3 linked regions of the Arabidopsis thaliana genome follow. Each later gene encodes a partner of the first gene's protein in a complex. Each region holds a gene or a part of one and is shown on either strand. Other genes may lie near its edges.

What was found.
Region 2: DIS2 (region 1) and ARPC3 share a complex: the UniProt entries of both Arabidopsis thaliana proteins name them as parts of the arp2/3 complex.
Region 3: DIS2 (region 1) and ARPC1B share a complex: the UniProt entries of both Arabidopsis thaliana proteins name them as parts of the arp2/3 complex.

What each region holds. Positions count from the first base shown.
Region 1 is NC_003070.9:10,957,464-10,967,325, reverse strand, and holds DIS2 (Arp2/3 complex, 34 kD subunit p34-Arc), read right to left. Parts: upstream 6,419-9,862; 5' UTR 6,221-6,418; coding exon 6,159-6,220; intron 5,969-6,158; coding exon 5,902-5,968; intron 5,809-5,901; coding exon 5,601-5,808; intron 5,506-5,600; coding exon 5,348-5,505; intron 5,245-5,347; coding exon 5,167-5,244; intron 5,089-5,166; coding exon 4,956-5,088; intron 4,860-4,955; coding exon 4,768-4,859; intron 4,642-4,767; coding exon 4,585-4,641; intron 4,515-4,584; coding exon 4,449-4,514; intron 4,363-4,448; coding exon 4,327-4,362; 3' UTR 4,095-4,326; downstream 1-4,094. UniProt on the Arabidopsis thaliana protein: Functions as actin-binding component of the Arp2/3 complex which is involved in regulation of actin polymerization and together with an activating nucleation-promoting factor (NPF) mediates the formation of branched actin networks.
Region 2 is NC_003070.9:22,260,371-22,269,898, reverse strand, and holds ARPC3 (actin-related protein C3), read left to right. Parts: upstream 1-3,822; 5' UTR 3,823-4,067; intron 4,068-4,137; exon of another isoform or gene 4,138-4,150; 5' UTR 4,151-4,216; coding exon 4,217-4,219; intron 4,220-4,416; coding exon 4,417-4,525; intron 4,526-4,600; coding exon 4,601-4,870; coding exon of another isoform or gene 4,871-4,902; intron 4,903-4,959; coding exon 4,960-5,102; 3' UTR 5,103-5,120; intron 5,121-5,242; 3' UTR 5,243-5,514; downstream 5,515-9,528. Other genes in the region: PANK1 (pantothenate kinase 1), read left to right, coding at 829-871, 983-1,147, 1,313-1,359, 1,466-1,582, 2,008-2,127, 2,217-2,311, 2,386-2,479, 2,576-2,707 and 2 more; AT1G60420 (DC1 domain-containing protein), read right to left, coding at 5,656-6,327, 6,418-6,897, 7,042-7,521, 7,817-7,921; AT1G60410 (F-box family protein), read right to left, coding at 9,373-9,528. UniProt on the Arabidopsis thaliana protein: Functions as a component of the Arp2/3 complex which is involved in regulation of actin polymerization and together with an activating nucleation-promoting factor (NPF) mediates the formation of branched actin networks.
Region 3 is NC_003071.7:13,342,990-13,354,678, reverse strand, and holds ARPC1B (actin-related protein C1B), read left to right. Parts: upstream 1-4,679; 5' UTR 4,680-4,891; coding exon 4,892-4,961; intron 4,962-5,327; coding exon 5,328-5,416; intron 5,417-5,611; coding exon 5,612-5,688; intron 5,689-5,791; coding exon 5,792-5,886; intron 5,887-6,002; coding exon 6,003-6,072; intron 6,073-6,330; coding exon 6,331-6,400; intron 6,401-6,635; coding exon 6,636-6,709; intron 6,710-6,796; coding exon 6,797-6,839; intron 6,840-6,968; coding exon 6,969-7,050; intron 7,051-7,180; coding exon 7,181-7,269; intron 7,270-7,366; coding exon 7,367-7,452; intron 7,453-7,621; coding exon 7,622-7,685; intron 7,686-7,918; coding exon 7,919-8,019; intron 8,020-8,132; coding exon 8,133-8,191; intron 8,192-8,298; coding exon of another isoform or gene 8,299-8,366; exon of another isoform or gene 8,367-8,631; coding exon 8,632-8,702; downstream 8,703-11,689. Other genes in the region: PARP1 (poly(ADP-ribose) polymerase 2), read left to right, coding at 1-44, 174-356, 586-633; LBD14 (LOB domain-containing protein 14), read right to left, coding at 1,026-1,313, 1,416-1,694; INH3 (inhibitor-3), read right to left, coding at 3,447-3,770; AT2G31290 (Ubiquitin carboxyl-terminal hydrolase family protein), read right to left, coding at 9,281-10,528; CPUORF7 (transcription factor bHLH155-like protein), read right to left, coding at 11,255-11,341, 11,427-11,603. UniProt on the Arabidopsis thaliana protein: Functions as a component of the Arp2/3 complex which is involved in regulation of actin polymerization and together with an activating nucleation-promoting factor (NPF) mediates the formation of branched actin networks.

The sequences.
Region 1 (9,862 bases):
CGGTGGAATTAAAGGTTAGTTTTGATGTCTCTCTTCTTGCTTGTTGGGGAGAAGAGGTTCTGGGTCTCGGTTGTGGTGGTCCTCCCTTTCCCGAAAGGTTTGTTTTTGGTTCGGATAAGTCTCTCGGCGACAATTTACGGTGGGATTTGCTAGCTCCTCCCAAAGGTTTGTCTTCGAGTCTTGTCCGCAATAAATTCATCCTTGTTAGCATCGGATCTGGAAGGTGATGGATGCGTTTCCGGTGTACTGTCTTCTTCAGAGTTTGTTTTCTAGGGTTCCCATTTTGGACCTCTCTTTTTTGTATTCATGTATCTCTTTTACTCCATCAGCCTTAAAAAGCCCATTTTGAGAAAAAATATTATTAAAAAAAAAAAAAGCTATGAAAATCGTTGGACCATCAACAGAGGAGAGATCCATCGCATGAGCAATGGGGAGTGTTATGGCTTTTGTACAAGGAGTATTATTATTTGAATTTTATTAGATAATATATCATAAAATATATATAATTGTTGAAAAGGATGAAATTTTAAATATGGTATAAAATACCTCTAATAGGTTTAAAGACAAAAAAACTTTAATATATTAATTAATATTGTTTTAAACATACATAGTCAATATTGCAAATCTATTTCACTATTTGATAATAACAAATCTGTTTCAAATCTTGAAGTTAGTTTAAAAGTTTATCATTTAATTAATGTAGATAACTTAGATATGGATATTGGAAGAAGCAATCTGACTCTGAACAACAACAAAATTATGAAGTAGAAAAAAAAAACAAAGTTAACAAGTGTAATTGGTAGAAATATGTGGGGAAGTACAAAAGGGTTTTGGAAAAGAAAAAAAAGTTAATAACATAAGCACAGAACATTGTGCCATTAATTGTTTTCAAATTCAGTTTAACTTTCTCTCTCCCACTTTTTAAATATAATTTAATGTTTTAATTTAATTTTGTTATTTTTCATCTTACATTTCATAATATTATTAAAAAAAAAAGTATGAAAAGAAAGAGATAATACCAAAAAACGAAAAAACCGAAATTTATAAAAACAAACAAAATAAAATAAAATAAAAATTATAACCAAACAAAGAAACCAACAACATAAGCACACAATGGTGATATTGGCTCTCAAAATCGAAATATTAATATTGTTGCCACGAGCAGCCGTGATCTAAGGCCAGACCTAAATACCTTAGAAAACGTAGCGCTGATATCTTTTGCGATGATAATCTCCGATGAGACCATGAATTCAAGCCAATGATCATAACGGAAGTCGAATCGCAGAAAAAACTTACCACCTCCGAGGAGTTACCAAACCCGACGCCACTGAAGAAAGAATTAACAGTTTTACCATGTAAACCCACCACAAAAATTAAACCGAAGATTCACCCGTAGTGTGACGGTTTATGTGTGATTCAAGGATCCCAGGATACAACCTCTATAAACTGATTTCGCAGCACTCGAAACACAACTCTAACGAACAAGTTTCTACGATACTCTCGAGACTTACTTTAAGACAGAGAGAGATTGATGGAGATGTTTTGCTTTTGAAAGATGTTTGAACGTTCAAGTGTTAATCTGCTAGTGGATCCACAAATACTTAGAAGCCTAACCTTCTTATATAGAGTTGAGATACTTAGGTTTTAATTTGCTTCTTCACAAAATCAAAACCAAGTCAAATAGAAATATAGGAGGTAGTGGGTGACTTGATACTTCAACGACTCATATTCTCAAGGAGTTGAGGAAGCGAAGAGGACCTATTCTTTAGGGACGTGAAGAACATAGTGACTTGTTTCCTCCTTTCAAGACCAGACCCGACAACCACCGGAGCTCCAACGTGAGCTAGGCCATCTCTTAAGCCCATTTCTTTTCCAACACTTTAATTTAATTAAGCCTATTAGCTTCAAGTTGCCACGAGCATCCGGGGTGTAAGGATAACGTTCGAAAACTTATATCGTCATAACTTACATACTTTCAGCAAGCAATCGACACTATCAAACTGTAAACAAGTGAATCATCCAAAATTGAGAACATTGTGATCTCAGACACTCCGACACTACTAGTCGAGATCCCGTATCATCTGGCAACATTCGTCTAAAACTATCTTCTTCTACAAGCTTCAAGCTGCTAAAAGAGACTCATCGATAGAAATTTCTCCTTTTAAGTCATATGCTATTAGAACTAACCAAAGACCCAATAGAAACCGCTACAACAACCAAAGAGAACTATCACACGAGCAATAGGATACAAAAGAAACTAGAAAACCATCGCTCCTTCTGAATCTAAAATACGAAAAAGTGGGAGACCAAGGTTTGGAAGCACCATGCAAAAATCGATGTTGTTTTTAATCGCAACTAGAACCGATTAAAGATGTAGCAACCAGACGTTGAATCAAGGAACCTCAGTGACAAACATAAATGAATCTCTCAAATATGCTAGATGTCCTCGAGCTAGTACGAGGAAGAGAGGCTATCTAGAAATAGAAATCGATATAGATGAGAATTTAGACACGTCGAGCAAGATCTCGAACTGCAAATAACTTAAACACTCTGTCATTTACCGCTAAAAACGATATCGTTGAATCATAAAATAAAGGAAGTTTCCTCATGACACTAGCAAGAAATGCAAAAATGCCAAAAATACGAGTAAGGCAAAATGTCGATATGTTTCTAAAACCCTAATCTGTTTTTGGAAAGGAGCAGAAAACACATGTGTCTCACACGCCCGCTACCTGAGCATCATGCTACTCTACTTTCATCTTTCTAAGAGCATTTCCAAGCCATCTCTATACTTTATTTTTGCTTTCATTTTACTTTAACTTATCTCTATTTTTATTTATATAGAAGAAAAATTAGAGATTTCTAATTTTCTTAGAAACCATTAAAAAAATAGAAAAAAAAATAGAGACAATTTCAATAATTTAAAAATAATTAGTTCATTATTCTTTTATATTATTTTATTTATGTAGTTTGGTTCCATGTTTGTAGAATTTTTTAGTTCTAATCTCTCTTATCTGAATAAAACCAATAATAAGATAAATACGAGAAATTTGCGAAAATAAATCTAGTGTCCTTGTTGTGATTTCATTAAAATTTTAAAATAGTTCTCACGCTTTATATGGATTACCACAAACTCACATTTAAATTTTATGTTTTTTTTACCAAGCCAAAAGGAGGAGTACTATTTACGCAAAACCAAAACCTAATCTTGGTAATCGATATTCGATACCCAGCTAATCATTATCAAAAAAGTAATAATAAAACTCAAACCATAATTATCTAGAAAAATGAATCTGTTATAATACAAACACCAAAACGACAACGTAACGTAGTACGGTAATCGGTATGATGCAAAATTATCACAGTTTGTATGCTATATTGTATAATCTGAATCTACCGTAGTATATAAATCGTATGTTATCAAATCGATATTATGGTCTAGTATTAAAAGGATTTTGGTGAAATACAACTTCATATCCGAAAATAATCAGACAAAATTTCTTTAACGCAAGACATAAAACATCATTTATATCAAATACTATTCCAGCTTCTTTATCCATTCTCGAAACAATATTCTAGTCCTTAGAGCTAATGAGAGATTATACAATGGTTTGCGAAAATGTGAAGGTGATCAGTAAGGAAGATAGAATATGTTAAACCAACATCAAGAAGACAAAAAGGTTTCGTGGTGTAGTTGGTTATCACGTCAGTCTAACACACTGAAGGTCTCCGGTTCGAACCCGGGCGAAGCCAGTTAATTGCTTTTTATTTCATTTTTTGATACAATGAAACCTAACAATATATGCCCAGTCATAATTTATGGGCCTCAAAAGTATACTACGAAGGAATCGTTAATTTACTCGTGCGACCTTTGAATCTTCTTCTTATACCTTACTAGATCACTACAAATCTTTGATACATCTGTGTATAAGGATAAATTGAACGTTTGTTTTTATATGAAAATCAACTTTTACGACTATTTGTTGGTACGAATATTACTTCATTTAATTTGACTATCTGAGAATCTGAAGAACAATAAAGATTCATCTTCTTCATTTTTGTAAAAACAATTATAAAACAAAACAAAAACTTTATTTTCTGTTGAAAACACCATGTTTAGATCAAGACCAGACACAGTCCATATCAAGGTGAGTTTCTTACAATTTTCACATTATACATTTGTTCAAATATTTAGCAAGATCAGATGTATAGAAATATCTGAAAGAATTGTACTAAAATAAATATCACAGAGACTTAATCCAGTAAAAAAAATACATGTCTCAGCTAATCACAAGTTTTTACAAAATTGCTTCGTGAGAAATCCAACTACTTCGAGTTGGTGTGATTGACCTCGTTGAGTCCCTGTGAGGAAGAGGAAACAAAGCTCAAAAACAATGCAAACAAACAAAGAAAAAGTCTGTCGAAAAACAAATTGTTTCGCAACTTACTAGCCGTTTAAATGACTTGTTGTTCATCGATCTTGTTTTCTCCAATGGCTTAGCTTGATCCAGAGCCTGAGACAACAAGATTTTGTTAACTAAAGAACGCATATCCAAGTCGAATGTAATGAGTTTGGTGTTTTACCTGAATCATAGATTCCACGCGACGCCGCATCCTGGTGTGCATAAATCCCTCTGAGAACTGTGATATAACAACAAACGAACAAAAACTCAGTTTTACAAATCCATACTAAGATAGAGAGACTAAGTTCTGGTATTTAGAGAATATGAAAGTAGAAAACATGAAAGTTCGATAAAGAATATGAACCTTGACGTGATAACTAACATAAGCATGAAAGGTCGATAAATTCCAGACAGTACGATCGAGCTTTTTCCCTTCCACATGCCGAGGAAAAATGACTGCGATATATCGATAATCTCAAAGTTAGTTTCTTTCAGATTGGTACTACCAATGCAAATTGAGTTCGAACAGAATATATTTTAGAAAGATCATACCAAAAGTTACAAAACCGGCATTAGCGGATAGTGTTTCTTTAGGAGCTCCCTCTAATTCCTGCGGTGCGGTTGGAGACCAAGAACAAGAAGGAGCAGTATTAAGCGCAGCAGCACGCCTCGCCTCTACAAATTCCTATATCATTATATCCAAAGTTTCAGTACTACAGAAATCAAAACCTGTTTGAAAATTTAGCTTTGATCATTTTGTCACCTTAAGGAAAGAAGTCGCCAGAATCGTGTCTACGGAGTCTTTAAATCTCATAGGAAATGCCACAGTGACTTTATCCGCCTGTGATACACAGTTAAGTTCTCTATCACTCTCTAGATTCTTACTAATCATAAGAACCTACTTCAATGGCTACATACGAAAGACCTATAGAGTATATATATACCTGAGGCACGAGGAAAAACGTCTCGTTAGGTCTATGCATAATTGCTACAAGCCTATCCAGCTCAGGAGCAACCGTCCTTGAAGCTAAATGCTTGAAAATGATTTTTAACGGTGCACCCATCACCACTTCTCTAATGGAAGCTAGCTTCGTTAATAACTCTGCCAAAACATAGATACTTTCTATTAGAGAACAAAACCAACATCTAAATCAAAACAACATCTTATCAATTAGAGAAAGAGACTCGTTTAAAAACCTTCATCAGGACGAACTTTAGAGAAATTGAGCTTGAGGGTTAAACTAAAACCATCTCTAGGAGGATCAAGTATTTGAAAACCTGTCCCGTAAGTGGTTTTAATAGCTTCTATAGCTCCTAAAGGAAGTCCATCAAAGGACATTGCTTCAGGTGGTGGATTTGGTAACGAAACCGAAAGCAACAACAGATTTGGATTCTTCATTGTCACCTATCAAACAAAATTCATATAGTCTCAGAACATTGAACAAGATCATATGGATCTCAGAGGTCAAATACTCAAATGTTGGTATAAAATTCACACCTGAACATGGTAACGAACATCATCAAATTCAATCCATTGATAATCTAGCTCCACTGCTTTATCAAGACTGAACCAAAACATAAACAAAATCAAGCAAAGTATTGAACTTTGGTTCCATTCTACAAAACCCAGTTCTTCCAAAATGTTTCAGATTTCTTCACAAAATCAAAATCAAATCGACCAAAATAAAAAATGGGTCTTATTGTAGATTAGGTAAAACTAAGAGTGTACCTAATTAAGAATTGAAAAGCACTTACTTTTGAGCTCGCGTCAATAGCGTTTGAAGAAGAAACCTTGAATGTGACTGCAATAGTATCATCGATTACTTTCTTACGATATCTAAAGGAGTTAACTGAATCACAGAGAAACCCTAGAGCCTTTGAGTTCTTCTCACGGGATCTAATCGGAGAAGAAAGAGAGCTCGTCGGAGACAAACGAAGACGACCGAGATTCTCTGTCACAGCTTGAACGTTTCTTCGATAACTTTTTGGAATTTTACTAATTTGTTCAATTTTATTACTCAGCTACTCAGCTAAGTGTAACGACGCCGTTTCGTTATTTCTGTACTTTATATTTTTTATGAATTTAAATGGCCCATAGGCCCAATTATGTAAATACTATGTAGTATAAGCTGAGCCCATTTCATAAATATACAATTTGAGCTTAAACGTTTCAAAAATATTTAATGTTGCAAATATCTGTATGTTTGTTTTGACAGTGGCAAACTAGTAGTGTTTTCTAGATTTTTTTTTTTCCTTCAGATTTTAACATTTGTATTATTATTTTTTCTCTGGCTTTTGATTATACCTGGCTATGTTGATTGTAATCTGACGAAGGTTTTTAAAAAAAAAATAAGCACGTAAATTAAATGATATTTTATATTTTAGATTCCAGATATATGATTATTTGAATGGAAATAAACGACAAAAATTAGTGGAGCAATGTTTTCGTATTATCTGACGTCTTCATAATATTTTAATCTAACAAAAGTTGGAATTTGACCGTTTAATGTGTGCTTTTAAAATTGAGAGATTAATTTGGATAAGATATGGCTCTTTTCTTTTTGTAAGTGGAGATATTTAACTAATTAGAATGTTACATTAGTTTTTTCAACAATGAAAAGATAAGATATTTGATCTATAAGTCTACGTATATTTTCAAATTTAAATTGGCCAGAGTGGGATAAAGACAAATAACATATGCATGTGAAGTTTTTATTTTTATTGATATTAAAGTAGACTAGTATAGTCTCTAAATGTAATTTAACGAACAATAGTATACGAACGATTTATAGTTAATATTAGTTTAAAGCTCTTTAAATAATATTCTTATTAAGTTTTTTTACTTTGACGACAAATATTTTTAGGTTAGATATGAAAGCTACATCTACATATAAAAAGAAATTATTATTTTTTAGCTTTAAAATTGTCTATTTTGAAATTGATCGTGGGCAGACGGATGTGAGAGATGAAGGAGCCTCAAAAGCAAAACTATCTCACGTATCTATACGCACACACATATATACGGATATGGTCCTACTGCATCGACATAAGCTTACATACTATAAATGCATGTGATGGCTTTTCTTAGCATAAATATTCATGAATAAATATGCGAAGTTATATTTATATTAGGGAGAAAAAAGTAGATATAGTAAAATGAGTAACGTTTGTAAGATAGATCGTGACATGGTCTTGGCAAAAGAGGAGCCGCTAGGGACGTATCTTCGCCATTGCATATTTGCATATCGATCTATATATAAGACCAAGTACTGATTTTAGAAAATCTGAAAAAAGCAGAAAAAGAAAACAGTCGTACGTACGTTATTTCTATAACCGGAAAACTTTGATAAAAACTTAAACCTTTCCTCTTATATTGAGAGTGAAAATTTTAACCCCTAAACCATAGATTGGTTGACGTAAAAGAATGTTATTTTTAACTAATCGATGGTAGCTCATTTAGCTGAACAATGATATTTACATTTTTATATGTCGAGTCATGGAGATAGTTAAAACTTCCAAACCATCCCTCCCAAAACTTCTATTGTATATATATTGCAATTTTTATTTTTCGCAATAAGAATTTATCTTTTCTAGAGTCTAGACTAAATTGTACTTTTGTGTTTGGTATAAAACTCTCAAGCAAAGTTAATTTTGAATTGTTAGATTCCAGCATAATTATTTATACAGTTAGCTAGTAAGCAAAACTGATTATGAACTCGTGAGACTTCTTAACTGTTCTAATACAACTATATATTATTATTATTAAAATTTACCGTGTCAAAGTCTAGGGTTCTAAATTTCTAATTAAATATTACCAGAAAGTGATGTAAAAACAAGGAGTACTAGAAAAAGTAATATCAAATATGGATAAGGTGAGTCATCGCCACGCATGTTGTCGAGTACGTACAATTGCGAAGGCCCATCATTTTTTCATATTCTGTAAACGTCAATAAAGTGACTAATATACGTCTATATAATATAAAATACTTCTATGTATATTAAGTGAAAGATTCTTGTAGGACAGTATACATACTCCAGTGGATAATCTAAACTTATGAATTAAATTTCATTTCATTGCACTTGTGGGCCGTGACAAATAGCTCCGTAATTCTAGACGATAGACCATATATAAACACAACTATATAGTCTAATATGTTGACCCAGATGTTTTAAGAGTTGTGTTACAAAATGCAACACGTAAATTATCAAACCAAGTAAAATCACATGTCACATGCATGTGCTAAATGTTTGAAACAGATTCATTCATATTCGTATAATGAACGTGAATCCGAGTGATCACATGGACTAACTTTAATTTCGAACCTTATTTTGTCTCATTATATGTCGGAGAAACCACCGAATTTCTAGTTTGCCCATCACGGGATGCTCTACTTCATCTTCTATACGCTCTTTCTGTAACGTTTTATGGCTAGCTATATAATATATACAACAAGTACTGATCATTCTATTATTAATCTAGGTTCGAACCACATTAACGTGGATATTCTATGTACACTCATGTTCAGCCAGATAATTAGTCGTACCAAATATTAATATTTTGCAATAAATATCTCAGCTTTTCTCAGGTATGTAGCAATCATGAGTCATGCGTGATGTTTTTGGACAAATTATCTTAAAAGAAAATAATTCTACGAAAGGGTAGTAAAAGTGACAATATATGATTATATAATTTGGTTTACAGACCATCATAATACAGCAGCATGATTAGTGGCGAAAATAGTTTATTGCAAGAGTATGCATGTGTATGTATATATTGCATTTGTGTGGCAGTAGGTGGTCATTATCGCATATATACTACATGGGATTATTGTCACAGGTTTAAATGGAAACCAATGAAACCTTCACATTTTAGTTTAGTTCTAATTAAACAGAGTCGATATATTAAATGATTTAACTACTGTAACAAAAAGATATATAATTTTATCATTTCATCTTGTTGACAAATACATTTTGTTCAGCACTAATCATATCAATCACTTGTTATGCACTAATCGCAAAACGTTTAGGAAGCAACAATAATTTGGAACCTGTTTTATCAACAGTAAAAAAAAATTTTGTTTTATTGGATTAGTGTGGTCCCTTTGTTTTGTTTATCTCATTTTCACCGCAAACTAAACTAGATTTTGTTTGATTTGGAGATCTTGTAACGCAGTGAGTGGTTAAGACTTAAAGATCTCACGTGACGATGCATTGACTCATCAACGCGAATTTTACACGGCTCGATTTTATTATAAACCATTACTTCAAATCTAATTAATTTAACAACAGCGACCACGCATAAAATTGTTATCAGGCAAAAATGAATAATTTGCATACAAATTACTTGTTTACACTTAGTACTAATATAAACTCCCTTTTTAACCAAAGCCTATAACCTAGAGACATGTGCTGATAAAACCAACTATAATCTTTTTTTTTTTTTAAAGAAAATAATCGTA
Region 2 (9,528 bases), about 11 Mb from region 1:
ATCCCAACCAATGTTCTTCGTGGGCCTATCAACAAGGTCAGAAACGCGAGTGAATGTATGGTTTATGTCAGTAACTGTTATTACAAGTGGTCGACAAAACACTTCCATGTCTTGAATACGACAAGACGTAGGAGAAGCACTTCCATATCTCTTAATACGACAAGGTTATCAGCAATGCGGTGGAACTTGATTTGAAGTCAATGAAAGCATTTACTGCTCATATTTGATTCGATTTGTTGAATAGGCGTAGAATTTTCCATTCAATTAAACTACACAAGTAAATTTTTTATTTTTCTTTAAAAGTCTTTTTTTGTTTGTTTAAACAGAAAATTAGTAGTACAGAAAATGAAATATTTTTCTATACAACGAAAACACCTCTAAGTTTTATATATAGATTTGAAAAAAGTTGTTATTATTATTTTATTTTTTGGCATCGAAATTATTTCTATTCTGGGAGAGCGTTTGTATTTCAAATTCTATTTTTTTTGGTCAAAACAAAACACCTTTAGATTACTTTTCAGTTTCTTACATTTTAGTTTAACGCACAGAAAAAAAAAAAATACTATTTTCTATCCAATCCGGAGAAGACTAAATGACAGGTCAGCAAAATTCGTCTCTCTTTCTTTTTAAAAGAAAAATTATTGACGCAATCAATACAGCCAAACATCGCTCCATGAAGAAGAAAAAACAACAACAACAAGTCAGCCATGGAGAAAGAGAGAAGAAGTAGATAGATGGTTTAGATCCAAAGTAGTTGATCGTTGAAATTTATTTCTATTTAACGTTGAAAAAAGAGAATTTTGCAAAAACCCAAACAAAAAACCCGCCATGGATCCGACTCAAATCTCTCATTTGGCTCTCGACATCGGAGGTAATTTAAAAATCCAAACTTGGCTTTGTTTCATTCAGTTTTAGAATTTTTCGGTTCTGGGTTTGTCTCGAATTAACCGGAATTGGGGTTTTTTTTTTTCTGGTTTCGTAGGGACTCTGATCAAGCTTGTGTATTTCTCTGCAAATGGAGATTATAGCGAAGAGTCTCGTAATGGTTGCTCTGTTGTGAAAGGAAGGCTTTGTTTCGCTAAGTTTGAGACTAGAAAGATTGATGATTGTTTGGAGTTTATTCGATTCAATATCCTTCATCATTCCGGTAAAGTTTTGATTTTTATGATCCTAACCTCTGATTCATAATCGGATTCATATGTACTCAGAAGTATTATGTCTATTTGCAGTAGTAATGTATGAGTCATTAGCTTACTGATTTCGAGAAAAGTTGAGTTCTTTTGATATTTCACTGACAGAGGTAACTATTCAGGTGTACAGCAACCGAATGGCGAAGGTCATGATAAACTTTATGTTAAGGTAAAAGCTAGCATCGGTTATAGTTTGGATAAAGCTTTGTAATGAAGAATGTTGAAGTGGGATTTTTGTTTGTAAGTTGATTATGGTATGGTATATTATTCCAAAGGCCACAGGTGGTGGGGCATTTAAGTTTGCTGATCTCTTTAAGGAGAAACTTGGTATTCTTTTCGATAAGGAAGATGAGATGTGTTCTCTTGTTGGTGGTGTTAATTTTCTACTAAAGGTTTGATTTTTTTTTCTATCCTATCATCATCTTCTATTCATTTTTCCTCAAACATAACCCACATGAGGATATATATGTACTCTGAATAGTCTAGGCTACACGTTGCTATCACTCATCTTTGTCAACACTTTTTGCTAATTCTTTATGAGTGAAGTTGTATTATGTTTCCCTGATAGTGATCTTGGCCTGAGTGTTGTTGCAGACTAACGTCTATAAGACTGAAAATATAGCTACATTAACATTTAGGACATTATAAATTTGAAGATGGTGATCATTTGCAATTTTGATTAAATGAGCTGTGCTCCCTGAGGTTTTTTAACCGATAGTTTCTTCATTGCATTAAAAGCATCTGTGGCAGAATAGTTTTTGATAAACTTCTTATTTCTGCCATTTTAAATTAACAATAGATTATTGCATGATTGCAGACTGTCCCAAGGGAAGCTTTTACCTACTTAGATGGCCAAAAGAAGTTTGTCGAGATCGACCATAATGATTTGTATCCATATCTACTAGTCAACATCGGTTCTGGCGTTAGCATGATCAAGGTTCATTCTGGTTTTGGTTTCTCTGATCTCTCTGTTTTTGTTTGCTACTACACCAGCGATGTTGCTTACTCAAACTCGTTCTTATATAGGTCGATGGAGATGGAAAATATGAGAGGATAAGTGGAACAAGCCTTGGCGGAGGCACATTTTTAGGTCTTGGGAAGCTTTTAACAAAATGCAAGAGGTGACTTCTTAGTTAAGTCTATTAATGTAAGTTTCCTCCTTGCCTGAGTAACAACTAATATTTCTTAATTTCAGTTTTGATGAGCTGCTAGAGTTAAGCCACCATGGAAATAACAGAGTAATTGACATGCTTGTGGGGGATATCTACGGTGGAACAGATTATTCAAAGGTAATTGATTGATCCTGGTTTTGCTTAAACATGTCTGAAGACTTTTAGATTAGATTCATATGTTAATATAACCTTTTGTTCATTCTTTTTTGATAGATTGGTCTCTCCTCAACAGCTATCGCTTCCAGCTTTGGGAAAGCGATTTCTGATGGTAAAGAACTTGAAGATTACCAGCCAGAAGATGTGGCAAGGTCCCTTCTAAGAATGATATCAAATAACATCGGTCAGGTCAGTTCCTCTGAACATTTTAATGCCATTTTAAAACATAATTTGAAGCTGATGATATTCTGATCGAATTGTAACGTTTTCTACTCTCCCTCCAGATTGCTTATTTGAATGCTCTCAGATTCGGTCTTAAGCGTATTTTCTTTGGTGGATTTTTCATCCGTGGGCTTGAGTACACCATGGACACAATCTCCGTTGCTGTTCACTTTTGGTAAATCCAAAACCGAAACTACTTAATCAAATCCCTCCATATCTTAAACTCATGTATGTCCACAAAATCTTTATCGAACTTTCTCATTTTTCCTTCTCATTTCAGGTCGAGAGGTGAGGCAAAGGCAATGTTTTTACGACATGAAGGGTTTCTTGGAGCATTAGGCGCTTTCACGAGCTACAATGACCAGAGCCATAACGATTTAAAACCGCATCATCACACTGTGCAAAGAGCAATTCTCAACTGTTCAGGTCATAACTTTCGGCACATCCCAGTAACTTCAAATTTAAACGAAAGCGAGACCATAGAATGTAGCATCAATTTAGTTTAGTTATCACCAGTTGTATTATTATCAATTCAGTGTAGAAATATGTTTAATCAACTGTTTGAGTCAAGAGCTGCTCATTACTAGTTTGTTGAATGTTAGACACATTTATGTAAGATGATTCACGTATTAATATTCATGTATGACCAATGTAACTTGTACTATATATCACACAAAGAATCAAACACACTTATTAAATCTCACTAGAGCTTCTTTAAATCTCGGTTTAGTCCGGTGCATTGCAAGTATTTGTGCATTTCTGTTTAGCCTTTGTTTACTAAGTTTTGTATATTGCTTATGTAACAAGTTTTTATCCATTCAGCAGAAATAACAGAAACTTGACACTTATATGGACATTTTGTTGTTGTTGTTGATTGAAGATCAATGTTTAATCCGGTCAAACCACTTTGATGTAACCCGAAACTGAACCGAAGAATGAACCACATCATTATTTGGTTTTTGATGTACCTAATTCCAGTGGTCGATAAGAAACCAAATTTCAAATAAAAAAACCGAGAAACTCAAAAATCAAAGCTAAGCCGGATTTAACATTGGTTACTCCCGGTACGAAGCAATGTACCACATTCATGGAGTCTTACACGTGTCATCCATACCTCTCTGTCTTCTTCTTCTTCTGTTCTTCATTCCTTTTTCCTACTTCGTCGATTTTCCATTTCAATTTCTTCTTCAGCCGGCGATTAAGCTTCCCAATAAGACAATCTCCGACCGCCGCAACATCACGAAGGATTCTTCACCGTGTGAACTTTACGCAGTCTTTCCTCTTTCGTAGACGCTAAAGAAGTTGAAATTGATCTGATCTCGTTTAGGTAAAAACTTTTTCTTTCTTCATCTATAGAATCAATCGTTCACCTAAATTCTGATTCTTATATATCCAAGATCTTAATTGCAGCAGATCTACCTTCGATTCGATTCTTCTCCTTCCTGATATCGCTTCATTGTTCAAATTCGGCACAAAATGGTACGGATCACCATTTTCTTATCTTTCAATTAGCATTAATCGCATTTCATTTTGTAACTAATGAAATTAGATTAGATCTTCGATGAGATTTTTTTTATTTATTGAGCTTGTTTCACTTTGATTTGGTTCCATGGAGTATTTAACTCTGCGATGCTCATTTTGTTTCCTTAATCCTTGTGATTAAATGCTCTGATCAGGTTTATCACTCGAGTTTTGTGGATGAAGAAGGAGTAACAAAGGCATGTGGTTGTCCATTGCTTCCTCTCAAGAGTCATATAAAAGGTCCTGCACCTGTTTCAGAACAAGGTAATTAATCAAAACATGTGATTTTTTTCAATTGTGCGATCGAAAGCTTTTGTAAATTGTTGGTTTTATATGCAGATAAAACTGATATAGTAGACGAGGCAATCACCTTCTTTCGTGCTAATGTCTTCTTCACAAACTTTGATATCAAAAGTCCTGCTGATAAGCTCCTTATTTACTTGACGTTTTATATAAATGTGGCGTTAAAGAGGCTTGAAGGCTGTAGAACATTGGCTGTTGGAACTAAAGCGATTATCAACTTGGGTTTAGAAGATATTCCTGTTCCTGGAGAAACTGGCTTTCCTTTCCCAGGTCTCTTTTCGCTTCCGCAGTCCCAGGACGAAGCAGGTATATATACATGTCTAAACAACTCTTATTGATTTTTCTTTCAGTTACTTGGTCCTTAGCCTTGTGTTCTGTTTGGCTTCAAATGTCAGAGCTTTTCAGGAACTATCTTAAGCAGGTTCGAGAGGAGACAAGTGGGAGGTTACTGAGTGTAGCATATAGAGCCAACGGGACACCAAATAAATGGTGGCTTGCATTCGCCAAGAGGAAATTCATGAACGTGGTCGTCCTATGATAAAACAGAGAATCACTGGTAAGTATCACTTTAGTTTACTGGATCCAAAATCCCACGTGATCTTAGATCCATCTCAAACAGTTCTACATTTCAAGCTTAAAATGTTTTTCTTTTGATCTGATTTTTTCATAATTTAGCAGCTGGTTATTCTTCCTTGCTTGCTGCCCATTACGAATGAGGGAATCCAAAGCCACTGGAGATCATGAGAATCGCCACCTTTAGCTTCCTCTGCATAGGTGTTAGCCACTGGAACCAGGAAGACGAAAATTTCATCTGAGAGCAGAATGCTCTCTCTCTGTATCTCTTGATATATACATAGAGTGTGCCAATGTATTGTTTCATACAACTCCTGTTGGAATATAAAATTTGTTGATACAAGATCAAAGTTAAATAAGAAGATTCTTTTATTATTACTTTAGATTAACAGAGTTTATCTCCAAGGTCTTAATCAGATATCAGATTGTAACCACACATTCTCACTCTTAGCAATTATACAAAGAAAGGAAATAGCTTTGCATACACATAGTGACATAACTGTGCCTGAAGCTACCTATCAGGCCTTGGTGCATACGTTTCCTTCACAAACCCAACCATCTTTGGACTCGTCGCCACCAACTTTCACAGCCTCATCGCCGTTTTCTTTTGTGTCCTCGTTTAAAGCACACTTGGCGTGAAGATCAAAGTCGCATTCGTCGCAATGGTAAGACCATATTGTCCCTTCTTCCTCACACTTATCGCATGTGTAAACCTGAACACGAGTTAGTTCTAGCTCATGTTCTTCATGGAGAACATGTTTCACCTTCTTAGGCCAATCTTTTGCTATCTCATCGTACTTAGCTTCAATCTCCTTCAAACGTTCCTCAGTAAAAGGGTAAGCATCGGCTCCATGGGCTACGACAAGGTCCCTTGCTTCTTTTGTTACGGTTTGCCCAGTTGGTCCCAGAGCTGCTAGCATTGGGATCCCACCAACCTTAAAGGTTTTTGCCAAGGATGCTTTCCTAGGATCACCAAATGGAAGAGCCAGCCACGGCATTTGCGAATAGTACTCATCGAATGATTCCTGGTCACGGTCACTGGAGATGAAGATCAATTCAAACGCTTCATTCCGCTCCTTTATCTGCTTGTATACTTCAACAAGCTTTGGTGTAAAAGCGCGACAAGGAGGACACCAGTGAGCTGAGAAGTACATAAGAATAGTCTTCCCCACCAGATCCGAAACAAGCACCTAACAAAGAAAGCCAAATTTTTACAGGTTGGTTCAGATCAGCCTTGAAGAACAGTGTTTAGAAAATGAAGAGGGTATCGAGAGCTATACCTTTGCCCCATCTTTTCCGAGAACGTAGTTGAGATCACCTGAGACAAGAAGTGACTCGAGCGTTTGAGCCTCTACCTTTGCCTTTTCTAGCTCCTTGAGTTCTTGAAACTTCTCTGGAGTGAAAGGATACGCAAGAACTCCATAGTCATCAATAGCTTCAGCGACATTCGAGTGACGGGTTTTTCCATCAGGGCCGAGAATGACCAGTGTCGGTAGTGTTGACAGCATGAAATGCCGAGCCAATTTTGATCCACTTTTGTCGTTGAACGGCAATGCTAGCCATGGCTTGGTCTTGAAGTCTTGATTAAAAGACTCCTCATCATCTTCAAGAGATATCAACACAATCTCAAAATCCTCCTTATTCTCCTTCAGCTTCGTATAAAACTCAACAAGCTTTGGAGTAAGCTCTGTGCATTTCCTGTAAGAGGCCACAGAGAAGAGAAGGCCAATGGTTTTTCCCTCAAGCTCTGATACGGGTACCTAATGAATATGCAATTGATCGGTCTCATTAAGTCAACAAAAGAGAAACAGGTCCGTAATAACTAACTAATGCAAGAGTCTTGTATAGATATAATCTTCCTATTGACGAAAAAGAATCTGATCTCACAAGCTATTAATGTGCACCTTGTTTCCGTCAGGCGAAATCACAAAGTCTCGTGAAGGAGTCACCAAGACAGATCTTAAGGTCTGTCCTCTCCGAGCTCTATCTTCATCCTCTTTGATCTCCTTCATTTTCTCTGGTGTGAAAGGATAAGCATCAGCTCCATAGCTTCGTATGACCCCAACACCATTCTCATTCACAAGTTTACCATGATCATCAACCATCACTAGGTTAGGTATTCCCCTAACCTTAAACAACTCATCCAAACGGTCACGGGTTTCCGAATCAGTAAACGGAACAGCGAGCCAGGGCATCTTTCTGAAATAATCTCCAAATGACTCTTCATCCTCATCACCTGACACAAACACAATCTCAAAACCAACTTTCGAAGAGAGCTCGTTGTAGACTTCCACCAGCTGTGGAGTAAACCGCTGACACGGTCCACACCAAGCAGCTGAAAAATACAATCCAATCTTCTTCCCTAACAAGCTGTCAACTTTCACCTAAACATCATAAAAATGCATAAAAAATTAAACTCTACCCAAACAACATAAGCCATGTGAAATAGACACAAGCCAAATCAATAAAGGACCAAGCACTGAATGAATCTTAACACTTGAAAGCAATCGATTAAAGTCATCTATAGCAAATCAATCAACTACACGAAGCTATCTATATTCTGTAAACCAGAAGAGTCGGTTCAAAGAATCGCGAGACAATCACAGGATCGTTATCGAAGATCAGAAGAAGTTGCGATCGAAGACCATAAACTCAAAATCACGTCAAAAACTATTTTACCTGTTCGCCGTCATTACGAACGAGGAAATCCCTCGCCGGAGAAGAAAGAAGCGAGTGAAGATCCTGGGCATCGTCGCCGTTGACTTGCTTCGAGGTTTCGGCCATTGTTTGTACGGAGATCGAATTTGAGAATCGCCAATTACGAGCACACGAAGACTGGTCTGTGTATTCTTTTGAGAGGGCCAAGTAATGCTCAAAGCGTTGTATAAAAGCGTCTCTTTTGAAGTTTTTTTTTCTTCTTAATCCAGAATTAGATTACTTAGCGATTAATTAAAGACCAGAAAATGCTAAAAACAAATGGTTGACCAACCAACACAATTATATTCCGGTTCGTCCATCAAACGAGGTCAAATACAAAACACTAAAAAGTCAGCAGTAGAAATATCTCGATGGGGTATAAATTGGTCAAAATCGAATATTTGGGGTTAATATTAAATATTTACAAAACATTAAGCGCTATCTCGACAATTCACGAGGATCAGTTCCCGGTATTAAACTCGGAAAATCCTTAACAAAACCCTAGCTTTTTGTGCAATTAGCTATTCAGATTGTTTTGTTTTCTGATCTGACTGTTTTTAATCTAATTCTGCTATATATATGGTATGTTCTTTGGGTTATGTCTAAGAAAACAAAAGCTTTATCTTTTTTTTTTGTCTACATTATACTTTCACCAAAAAATAATATATGTCTTATTAATGCGTTTCTTATTTCGTCTAGACTCCATGCGTGATTAGAGGACCACCAACGGTGGTCCCTTAACAAAATTTCTAATGATAAAAAGAATGAAAAATAATTAAAAGGTAAGTGTAAGAAGAGAGAGAGGCCCTAAAATTCTTTATTTAAGGGACAGTCTCGAGAAAATTATATACATGTGTTTTTATTATTGGTCAAATTATACAGAAGCCCTAATAAGATTAAAATATTATTATTTGTATGTTTTTAAGGGATTTTCATAGAGTCCAGCGTTGGGGGTGCTCTTAGTTACCCAATTTGAATGAGCATATGTCCTGTGTACTTGATAGATTCAACCAAATGGTTTGAGATTAAAGGAAGCAATTAAGTATCTAAAACTTTGTTGCTATAGTTTTGTATATTTTACATGTATTGTACACTATAGCAACCTAATTACAATGCATGTGATATATATATAGAAAACTATAGCAACAAACTTTCAACGAAACTTTGACGTTGAATCCAACCCGTAACAACATGGATGAAGTCCAAGATACTTCACTTTTAAGTTTACTCATTGCAATATAGTTTACGAGTAAGAATCAATGAAAGAATATAAAAATTTATAATCAATCCTACATATAGTTGCAACATAGAATTTCAATTTTGTTTTAAGAGATAGAAATTTACTAAAGAACATCCATAAAAAAAAACTAGAAAACATAAAGCCATGTCTAACAAGAAAATCTAAAAAGTCTTACAATAGATTATTTGATAATTAACTGTTGATAGGTAAACTTGATTTAGGAGAGACGACATTATACACATAACAACTTGACACCTTTCAGCATATCTTTGGAATCCTTTTCATTTTCTTGATGATGTTACTGCCCACTTAAAAGCATTTTCGTCAAGCGTGTACACTTCTTCCTAAAATATGTCGCAAGTTTCATTTTACTTGGTGTCGATGGTGCCTTCAACTGAAGAAAGTCGAGAGAGGATAAGACACATTGAGGCACTGGTGAGAGTTTAATCTCCTC
Region 3 (11,689 bases), on another chromosome or scaffold:
GTGAAGTTGCATTGGGAGAAATACATGAGCTAACAAAAGCTAAGGTGAGCCCATATTACAGTTTTTCAGGTTATGCTACTAACCATTTGGTTCTTATCTTGAAAACTATATGAACAACTTAAGATATTACTTACCTTCATATATGACTTTCTCTTATGTCCTCAATTCTTTAGTATATGGATAAACCTCCGAGAGGGAAACACTCGACCAAAGGGCTCGGCAAGAAAGTGCCTCAAGATTCCGAGTTTGCCAAGTGGAGAGGTGATGTGACTGTTCCCTGTGGAAAACCTGTTTCATCAAAGGTCAAGGCTTCTGAGCTTATGTACAATGAGTATATCGTCTACGATACAGCCCAGGTAACTTGTGTTTCCAAAATAATCTTCCTTGTTCCTTACAACAATGGGATATTGCGCACACACTAAAGTCCTCTTTTGTTCTTATCGGGTACTTGGGAATGAGAACTGAATTCCCTAGAAAGCTCATGCTTTAGAATACGGCTTTAGCTATTAGTTTTGCAACATATTCTGTGTTTGATTCTTTTATGGTGTGTACATGTCTGACAAAGATTGCTTTGTCTCTGAACAGGTGAAGTTGCAGTTCTTGTTGAAAGTAAGGTTTAAGCACAAGAGATGAGCCTGAACCAAACAAGAAGACGTCACTTCTGTTAACTAAATGTTTTTTTGGGAAATCGAATCCAACACGAAGACTTAACTTTTGTAACTAAATGTCTTTTGATAAATCGAATCCAACATGTAGTCACAGATTTAACTCTCTGGCGTTGTAGATGTTTCTGGTTTTAAAACAGCGTACACTACATTTTGTTATGCTTTTTCTCAGTAATGACACTTCTTAAGACTTGACACTTGTTCAGATCTGATGTTGTACCTATGAAAGATCATCGAAGAAGTGGTTATTCTCAAAGAGAAAATGGTTGCATGATTCGATCTCTACTATGAAAAATGTCGAAAAGTCGATACAATAGAAAGATTGTAAGGTTCCATCTCTGACAAAGTAGTCACTTGTACTCAAACAGACCAAGGAAAATTGACCTCCTGGTAGTAATTAAGTGATTCATTTGAGCTACAAGGAGACTCATTATGATCCATGGACCGCTCATTGTCGCGTGTAGTACCACTCATTGGGTCGAAGTCTGAGTCCAAGATTCCTTGGTGAAACCAATTGTGAAGATCTTGTGGCATTTGTTGAGCAAGAACCTTTTCTTGTTGCTTCATATTACAACCAGGATCATCTTGAGGGAACCTTCTCGAAGCTTCTTCTCTAAGTAGAACCACTTGTGCTTGTAAACTAACAACCTTAAGAACAAAGTCAGTGAAGTTACTTGTAAGTACACTAGAGATGATGAAGCAAAAGCAAAAAAAAATTATGTATACATTTCCGAAGAAAAAGTATAATACCTGTTGTTGGAGGGAGAAGATTTGGGAGACGCAGCCGTAAATAGGATCATGGAGACGAGAGTGAGCCTCGTAAGAGATGGTTCGTACGGCGTCACATCGGTCATGATCAGGGAGATGAGAAATGAGCTTAGAGAAGTTGCTAGCTCCAAACACTTTGTGAATGGCTGCAAAATTAGAAGATCCTTCTTCGTAGCAAAAGTATGGTGCAAATACACAACCCTCTACACATTTCCTACGCAAGAACTTGCATCCTCCACATGGTGAGCCTAAACCTCCCATTCTCAAAACGTAATTATAATCTATTGATATTAACCAACTATTACTATCTTGTAGGAATATTAATACTTCATTACTTATACTCTTCTAGTGACGATTATATAGTGCACGAGTGTTTATGGTAAAGGACTAAGGTGGGATTTATGATAACTCAACTTGTTATTTTACATATTTGTCTCTCTAATGGCTTACAATTACAAGATTGCAGCTTTTATATTTTCCCTCAAGTTTATATTGTAAAACATCTCTCTAATATTCAATAACTCGTTGTAATATATTATTGAGATTAAACTCTTAAGGTGGAGAATATTCTTAAGAAAATATTGAGAGAACCATATTAATATTAAGATCCGATCAAATGAGAGATTTGGTTGACGTATAGGACAAAACAATGAGTAAACATGAACCAAACCCAAGTTGCTTTTTGTTGTGGTTTTAGCTTTTTTTTAATTCATAACTAATTTACTCTCTTATTTTATTTAGAAAAATAAATTAGAGTTTACTTTTAGTGTTTGTTTAGTTGAAAATTTACATGTACTTGTGAAATTATGTTAAGATTGTTGTCATTATTGCTTAATTTGGAAAACAATAGTTTAAGATTTAACAATGCTCAACATATACACCACATAAGTGATTGAGATGTGTGTAGAATAAGAACAAAGGCATTTGATATTAGTAGTATATGAGACAAGTTATTTCTATATCTCGATTTAAATATTTTAAAATGCTCTCAGTTTCGATCAAACTTTACAGACTAGAAAAATAGAGAGACCCATGATTATCCAGCCCACATATTAATCATGAATCATGATTAACATCAAAAATATTCCAAAATAATTGATCAAGTACAAAAGTTAAATTATTCGATAATAATGAACAACTGATAGTGGATTTATGACTTAATGTTGGTTTAGTGGAGATTAAAAATAGTAAGAAAAATTTGAGTTTGAAGCTTTATTTTTGTTTTCTTATCTATGTTAAGGATTTCGGGTGTCTTTAGATATCCTAACTTGTGCCTAGAGTTTGCGGAAAAGACGGAGTTTTGGTCAAAGAAGGACCGGGGAACAAAGAAATAACAGAACCAGTACGGCCATGGGATCGGTCTCACCAATGACTGATCTAGGACTCCTCAAACAACCCTCATAAGCCACATTGGCCGTGCCCATCAGTCAAATGCAGATCCAATATCCCTGGAGCCAACTAAATAACCCGCATCGATCAACCATCATGGTCATAGAGCCACCGATCTAGCCAACCAAACCATCCGACCAGTAGCTACATCGTTCTGCCATATCGGTCATATTTTTTTATCGATCCTAATCACAACCCATCTGATCCAGAAGCTGCATTGATCCCAACATCGGCCAATGAAACCCAAACATTATACTTACCCTTTGCAAATCCTATTCTACTGGGAAAATAATATAGTGCTCATCTTTTAATTGATGAAACCCGAACATTGCATTTTGAGAAATAGTATGCAGTCGCAAAAGCAAAAGCAAAAGCATATTCAAATGTAGAAAGAAAATATAACATCCTTGTAATTCTTTAACTAATTAGCAATCTTCAATGATTCACATCATTTTCAACAGAGTATGAAGGAGTTAACATTGCAATGAATCTGCAAATTACTTGTACATATACATAACGCCCAACCAGGGTTAGATAGGAGAAGAGACCAAAACAACAAATGTGTGTTCTTCCATGATCTATTAAAAAGCTTCAATATATAGTAACGTGAAAAAACCTGATTGATTAGTCAACGGCTTTAGAATCATTAGAAGAAGATGCCTCACCAGATTCGGAGTGTTCATGGTTATGATCACAGTGATGGTTGTTATCATCTTCTTCTTCACTGTCATCCTCATCAAAAGGCTTCTGTTTATGAAAGATGCAACACTTCTTCGAACTCTTCTTCTGCATAAACTCATTGTCTACAGTCCCATCTTTCCATGAAACTTTCTTCTTCTTCCGGTTCAACCGAAGCACTAATCTTTCAGTAGGTTGTGATTGAGAAACAGGGTTTTCTAATATGACAGAAGTTGTTGCTGAAGAGGAAGGCCTTGTTGCTGTGCTCATAGCTGAAGATTAGCTTTCAAAATCTGCATAAAAGACTAATTTCATAAGGTACCAAAATACAAGAACAGAGAATAAAAGTTCTTAATAGTAACAACTAACAACATGCTTAAGAATGACAAGAGCTAAAGATAAAAACTAAGACCTTAAACAAAATCGTAAAACAGAACAAAGCCTTTAGGGTTCATTCTTTAGGTAAACAAACCAAACAGATGCTATTTCTCTAACCCTAAATTCATTGCCTACGAGATCTGAACCCTAATCATTCCTAATTCCAGGGGATAAACACAAATCGGTGATATGAAATTGAGAATCAAATGTTGCAGTAAACAATAGAGAGACCTAGTTTCGATCGTAGAAACAATAGCGAAACCTAAACCTAGGGGAAAAAAAGATTCAAAGAATCAAATCGACGAAGAAGCAAACCTGTGAATCCCCAAGGAGGAAGGGACGCTTGTTGAATCGAGAAACTTTTTTTTTTTTTCGTTTTGTTTTTTTTTTCTTTCGCCGATGGAGAAATTTAGTCGCTCCAACCAAAAAAAAAAAAAAAAAAAAAATTCGGTCTAATTTTATATTTATTTTCTAAGAAATGTTAATATATATATTAGAAAAAAGACTAATACAGTGTAATTAATTTTGAGAAAACTATAATGTTAACTTATTTGGGATTCGAAAACTGAATATATAGAATGACTTTATAAGTTACTCATACTCATAGTGAGGTTTAGTTCAGATTTTTACATGGATGGATTTGATTAAATCCAATTATGTATATTTAAGTATTTAACTAATGCAGAATTTAGATCTTATTTTTTTTTTTGCTTATTATTATGCTGGGCCGCCCCTAAGACAGGGCCAAGGAAAATAGAAAATGATCTGGTCATAAAAAATTGGGCTATAAGAGTAAAATAAAACACACAAACAAAAACATCCGTCTCTTTCACTTACACTTTCACTTCACGTTTGCGACTGTGTCGTCGTCAAGCTCCGGATCTCATCGGCGTTTCATCATAATTATCTGTCCATCTATTCACCGTACGACTCCGTTTTAGAAATCTGTAGATGTCAATTTGAGAGAAAAGACTGTCTTCATTACAACACATTTGGGACAACAAGGATCACTCATGGCAGTGGTGGATGTTCATCGTTTCGCTGAGTCAATCACTTGCCATGCTTGGAGTCCTGATCTCTCCAGTATGTTTCTAACACCTCTCTGATTTTGTGATTCTCTTCTTTCTCTCTTCCGTCGTTTTTCTGTTTTTAGAATTATAAATGAGGAGGATCTTTAGTTAGTTTTTCTGAATTGACTTGTGTTATTCTTATACATCTTGGTAATCAAGTTTCTTCTAAATCCCTATAATTGAGAATTTTCGAGTCAATGTTTTATATGTCTGTTTGTCGGTGTCTCTTGTTAGGAGCACTTGGTATCTAGTATTGTACATTAGTAGATGCGCTTTTCTAAACAGATGAACCAAATCTATTGTTACAAATGATTTAACGTCTGTACTAAAGCCTGTAACCATTTATGTGCTTTGACATTTGTTTCGTTTTTCTTGGTAGTGGTTGCTCTCTGTCCTAACAACACTGAAGTTCATATCTATAAATCATTGTCTCAAGACCACTGGGAGAGGTTACATGTCCTCCAAAAGGTGAAACCTTTCTCTCTCCCTCTCTTTCTGTAACTTTTGAACTTGCACTCCTTTTGCTTTCTCTTCTTGGGAATTCCTTACTTTCGTATATTTATGTATTCTCATTTCACTGATCACTTGTCGCTGATAAGTGTTGTATAGACAGCTTGAATCTCCCTTACAACAACTTCATGATTATTGTTCGTCTTGTTGCAGCATGACCAAATTGTTTCTGGAATAGATTGGAGCTCAAAGTCCAACAAAATCGTCACTGTTTCTCATGACAGGAACTCGTAAGTTGCTACCTTTGATATACTTTGAGAAACTCCAAACCTGTTAATCTTAGTCCTTCACTTTTTTTCGTTCGTTGAACTGAGTTTAGAATGCTTCTTGAAGGTACGTCTGGAGCCTGGAAGGAGCTGAATGGGTACCAACTCTCGTTATTCTTAGACTAAATCGTGCTGCACTTTGTGTCCAATGGAGCCCCAAAGGTAAATGTTTAATTTTTCTGGTTCTTAAGCTTAATTTCCGTAATATATCATGTAATTTTCCTATAATTTCTACAGCTTCTAATCTATGTTCTCATCTTTTTGCTCAATACCCATAGAGAACAAGTTTGCTGTTGGAAGTGGTGCTAAAACTGTTTGTATTTGCTATTATGAGCAAGAGAATAACTGGTATTTTCTTCTTCTGCTCCTAATTCTCATTATTAGTCCTTGATTTTTTCTTTGGCAAGTTTCCTGACTTCTTTGCTACGAATGGTGTTGTTGGTCTATGTAATGATATTATCTTGTCTTATGTACTGGCATGATATTAGCACCAATCATATTTTTTATTATCTTGGCATGCATAACTGTGTATTGTTTAGAGATTTTAGAAAGATACTTTCATGTAAACTTTTAGTATCTGACATTGCTTGGCTTTACTGTTTGCAGGTGGGTCAGTAAGCTAATCCGGAAAAGGCACGAATCTTCAGTCACATCTGTTGCTTGGCATCCTAATAATGTACGTGCAATCAACAGAACCTCTTGTAGTTCATGTAGCCAAAATATTAAGCAGGCTCTCTGTAAAAGCTTTCTCTACCAAAAATATTCTATAAGTTGGCCACCAGATTGAGTATAGAGTACATGATCCCTAAAAATAGAATATCAATCTCCACAAACTAGTTAATCTTCTAAATCATTTTTTCTCGTATGCTTTTTTATGTTGCTGTGCTCTCTGATTGTCTGTTATGCATTAGGTTCTTCTGGCAACGACATCAACAGATGGAAAATGTCGGGTATTTTCAACATTCATCAAAGGAGTTGACACAAAGTATGCTCATTACTTGAACGTCTACTTTTAAGACATTTTTTCAAACATGAGGCCATTTCTTATTTTTCTTTCAATGGGCTGATACAGGGATTCAAAAGCAGGCTCACCAGCGGAAACGAAATTTGGGGAGGTTCGACTAGTTTGGCTGGCTTTCCTTCTTTTAGTAAATATTATAATTCTTGTGCCATATATATGTTCCGTCTACTCTCTCATCTAATGTTAGGGAGTTTTTTTTTCTACTGTGGCTTTGTTGAAACAGCAAATTCTTCAGCTTGATCTCTCATATTCTTGGGCATTTGGTGTTAAATGGTCTCCAAGTGGAAACACCTTAGCATATGTAGGTCAGAAAATCCTTCAGACTTGGGATGTTTTTCCATTGCGCTCTACTGAAATAATACAATGGAACTTCAACTTGGTTGCAGTTTTTACTACCATCTGTCATACTTTGCGTGTTTATGTAATCATGTATAGGTCATAGCTCCATGATTTACTTTGTTGATGATGTTGGCCCTTCTCCTTTAGCCCAAAGCGTTGCATTCCGAGATTTGCCTCTTCGTGATGTGGGTCAGCATCCACCTTTATTTTACTTTTGAGAACCTGGTTTCTCCGGTGTGTTATGTCCTGAATTGATATATTATGGGGAAATTGCTATTTCAGGTCCTGTTTATTTCTGAGAAAATGGTGATAGGGGTTGGATATGACAGCAACCCGATGGTATTTGCTGCAGATGATACTGGAATATGGTGTGTAACTCTCAGAAATATCTGCTTAAAATTCTCTTTCTTAGGGGTTTGCATACTATCAAATTTTCAGTTCTTTTATTCCTCTTAGATCACAGGCCGGATTGTTGGTTCTGAAACGAACCACTACCAATAATTGCTTCGTTTACAAGTTTTTGTATTTGGTCTGTAGGAGCTTCATAAGATACATTGGAGAGAAGAAAGCGGCATCTTCAGGTTCCAGTTACAGTTCGCAGGTACATACCAAATCTTCTTTCTTATATTGCAATATGTCTGGTTTTAGCCTTTTAGTGAAAAAAATATGACTGAACTTTAACTTATCCCTGAGTTGTTCCTCTAAAGATCGTAATCTTTGGGGGTTAGTGTAGTTCCTCTCTTTCTTTTTTTCTTGGATTTACGATACGACTTTCCACTTGCATTATTTTGTTGTGTTGTGTCTGACACATCTGTTCATTATGTTATTTTTCAGTTTTCCGAAGCGTTTGGAAAATTCTACGGTAGTCAATCAAAGTCTACAACAGCCAACGATGCTTCTGATTCACGTGGAGGCGTTCATGATAACAGCATAACGTAATTGTTTCTTTATCTAACTTGGCTTGTACCAAATCATTTGCCAAAAAACTGTCTCTTTAGCTCTTTTACTTGATTATCTGTTAAGAGCTGACGTAGAAGTTTACCTGCAGTTCCATTGTGCCTCTGGGCAAAGGAGGGAGTCCTAAAGTTATGCGATTCAGCACTTCAGGTCAGTCACTAAATTTAAATTTATATAACCCTTCATGGAATCACCCGATTCAATTCATACAAAATGACAGGTTTCATTAGCTCGCATTTTCGGTTTATTATTTATAGGATTGGATGGCAAAATAGCCATATGGGATCTAGAGAACATGCAACAAGAACTTGGCAATCAGTTTTAATAAAATCTGGATCAGTAGTCAGCTTACTTAATTTGTATATCAGATTTTGTTTCGACTAGCCTTTTCACCTTTTTCCAATTTCGTAATTGTCACACTTGGTAAACTGCATAATAAAGGCCATGTTTTCCTGGTTTGTGTAAGGGCAGGTGTTATTAAGTTTTGAGCTATGCCCTTGTCTCTGGATCTTTGTAATATCTTGAATGCTCTATCATTTGATTCATTATACGAGTTGGTATCTTGTATATTAACATAATAACATTTTCAGCTTTGTGTCGAATGAGTTCTCCGGACAACAACCACAGAAATGAATGCTATATATCAACAAACTTGAAATGAATCTTTTCATCTGTGATGATATATACAATCCAGAATGAAGCTGACACTAGTATCATCTGACATAATCATCGGGGAATCAAAAGCTCCGCTTAATATCTGTGTAATCAAAACATGGCTTACATCAACTGAAGCACGTACGTACGGTCTTCAGGGGTTAGAAAATTTGACCACTGGTATGTCCTTTAGGAAGCTGCAAGGTGACTTTATACACAGACCAAATGTGAAACCAAGAACACATATCGGGAAAATTCCAAGTACGTGCAAATGTTTTCACTCAATTTCTGGACCACGTTCATGAAGTATATAGCATTGTTTCAGAGAACTCTTAACTCTTGATTCCCGCCCAAACTGAACTAAGTGAAAGTATTCCAGCTGCCTTAATTCACAGATTCTATCTTGATCTAGCATCTGCGGGGAACAACTCGTATTTTGCATTTGTTTACAAGCATATTGTGATCTTCGTAGCTTTCAGAAAAAGCACAACGTCTTAGAGATTGCAGACTATATAGGTAAATTTTTCTCCATTGGGTGTCACTGAAGAGAATCTGAAGAGAACGTCCAACTTTACCAGAATGTTCTTATTGGGTGTCACTGAAGAGAATCTGATAAAACCTTTTTCTCTCTTCTGGATCAAACAGACCACCTGGTCGATCCCCATGGTTTTCTTCTTCATCGACATCATCTCGATCGTGGTTCCTGTCTTTCTTTCGCACCACAGGCTTCAAAGATTCAATACCTTTCTCTCTCTTCTTCTCTAGATTAGCCAAATATCGCCTGTGATTATACTCATACAAGCCCTGCTGCATCAATTCCCCAAATTTATCCTTCACAACAACGAGCGGGTCCTTGTGAATCAATTCCGAGCCATTGTATCCTTCTCTGAGGATCACAGTGTGAACCTGATACTTGTTTCCAACGTAGAATATGCCTGGATGCTTCAGAAGCATACCATTTAGCTTCTCCGGTAACCCAAATTCCCTCTTGAAATGACTCAGCTTTACGATTGACAGCTTTTTCCACAACGTCAACGAGAGTAACTCGTGCACCAAACCAACACTTCTCTTCTCACTCTCCTTTGAACCCTCAACAAGATCCCCATGATCCTCATACGGAGATATGTAAGGAAAGGCATTAAACTCCATGAACCTCTCCCACGGTTTGGTCCACGTGGAAGGTAGAGAGCAAGAGAAACTAGGCTCAGAGCCACATTTCTTTGCTGCTGCTTCAACTGCAGAGACAGCCAACTCAGGCTTCCACAACAAAAGCTCAATCTCCATTGAACTCTTCCTACCACTATAATTCACTAACCGAAACACATCTGAGTACTTTGGAACTATTCTGATAACATAATCATCAGGGAATCCAAAGCTCCGCTTAAACTCGTTAAGCTTCACGACATTGAGACGCTGATTAACACTCAACATAAGCAGCTTTGCAAGCCTATCTGCGAGTACAGGCTCTTGTGTATCTTTGACCAACTCTTCCTCTTCCACAAGCGTCATCATCGGTTTCGTTAACCTACAGTAATACTCATCGTTCTCGAGATAAACATGGAAACAACAAGGGTATTTCTTAAGCCAATTCAAGGCTTTCCCCTGAAGATCAAGAGTCTTAAACTTCTTCTGTAGAAACTTAATCGATGCAACCTGATTGGGACACCTTAAGATAATGTTCTTGAGCCGACTGTTAACAATCCATCGCTTGTTACGCGAGAGAGCAGATTCGAGATCAGGGTCTTTCTTCGTTGACCAAAGTGAGAATCTTCGGATTAACAATGGAGCATACTTGGTACCCAGAATCCGATATAACTCTCGTGTCATAGCCATATCAGTCTCTGACTACCAAACCTAATCAAACTCAAACTTCAATTATTGACGAATGCGATTGGTTATAAGCAAAAAGAAATAGAAAAGCCTCCACCTTTAGAGTATCAGAGGAGCAAAACAGAACCCTAATACCGCCACGAAGGAAGTATGATCGGAGGAGATAAGCGAGGAGCAGAAAGGAGAAGCCTTTGAAGTCGATTCATCAGACTCAACAACGCCACAGTTTCGACAAGAGGTAGAAAAGAGATTTTGCTTCTGAACCCGAGATTCGAAGGAACAAATTTTATGCCCTTACTCTCTGCAGCGAAGAGACTGTGGCAGAACAGGGACTAGTGCTGGTGAAAGTGAAAGCTTTCTTCTTTCTAAGACTTCTTTGTTTGGGTTTAGTGTTTGTTGTTTACTCAGTTTTGATTATGATAATTACAATGCATGCTTGCAAATTTCTAACCATTAATTTATAATTCCACAGCTTGCAAATCAAACGTATGAAGAAAATCAAAGTTTCAAGTCATGTATATATACAAACTTCAAAGGGTCCAAAAACTCAAAAGCAAACAAATGCAAATCATAAACACACTAAACACTCAACTTTGAAGTCCTATCTTTTATACAAAAAATCAAAACAAACAAATGAAAGTATTGCAGTGAGTGTCACAACAACACTGTACAAGCCCACACAAGCCTATTCTTTATCTTACGTAAACGCAAACTCTGCAACCACGCCTGTTACCCCTTCTCATTGGCCTTTGGTTGAAATATTTGCACCAGAGACCACAAAATGTCCATCCTCTGCATTACTTTGCTGTTTTGGCTCTGCCATTCATATATCAGTATCTCGATGTTAGTCAGTCATATATATCATACTAATCCAAAGTTCAATCAAAACCAAGGAAAATACTTTGATTTGCTTTGGAATCTCTTTCATGAATTGGGTAATTCGACTTCCTACCTCAGTTACAAAGCATATCCATGTTTTCTCGCCCTGAGTCTCGGTGAAACCTCTTAGGATGACGAGGTCTAAGCTCCTTATGACGTTTGCTATCTCAAGAAAATGGCCACATTCTTCACATAACATCTGTCCAATACCCAAAAATACTTTTAATACACACTCGCAGAACTTGGGACTCGAGTTCAAACAAAGATTAAACTAAACCAAAGAAA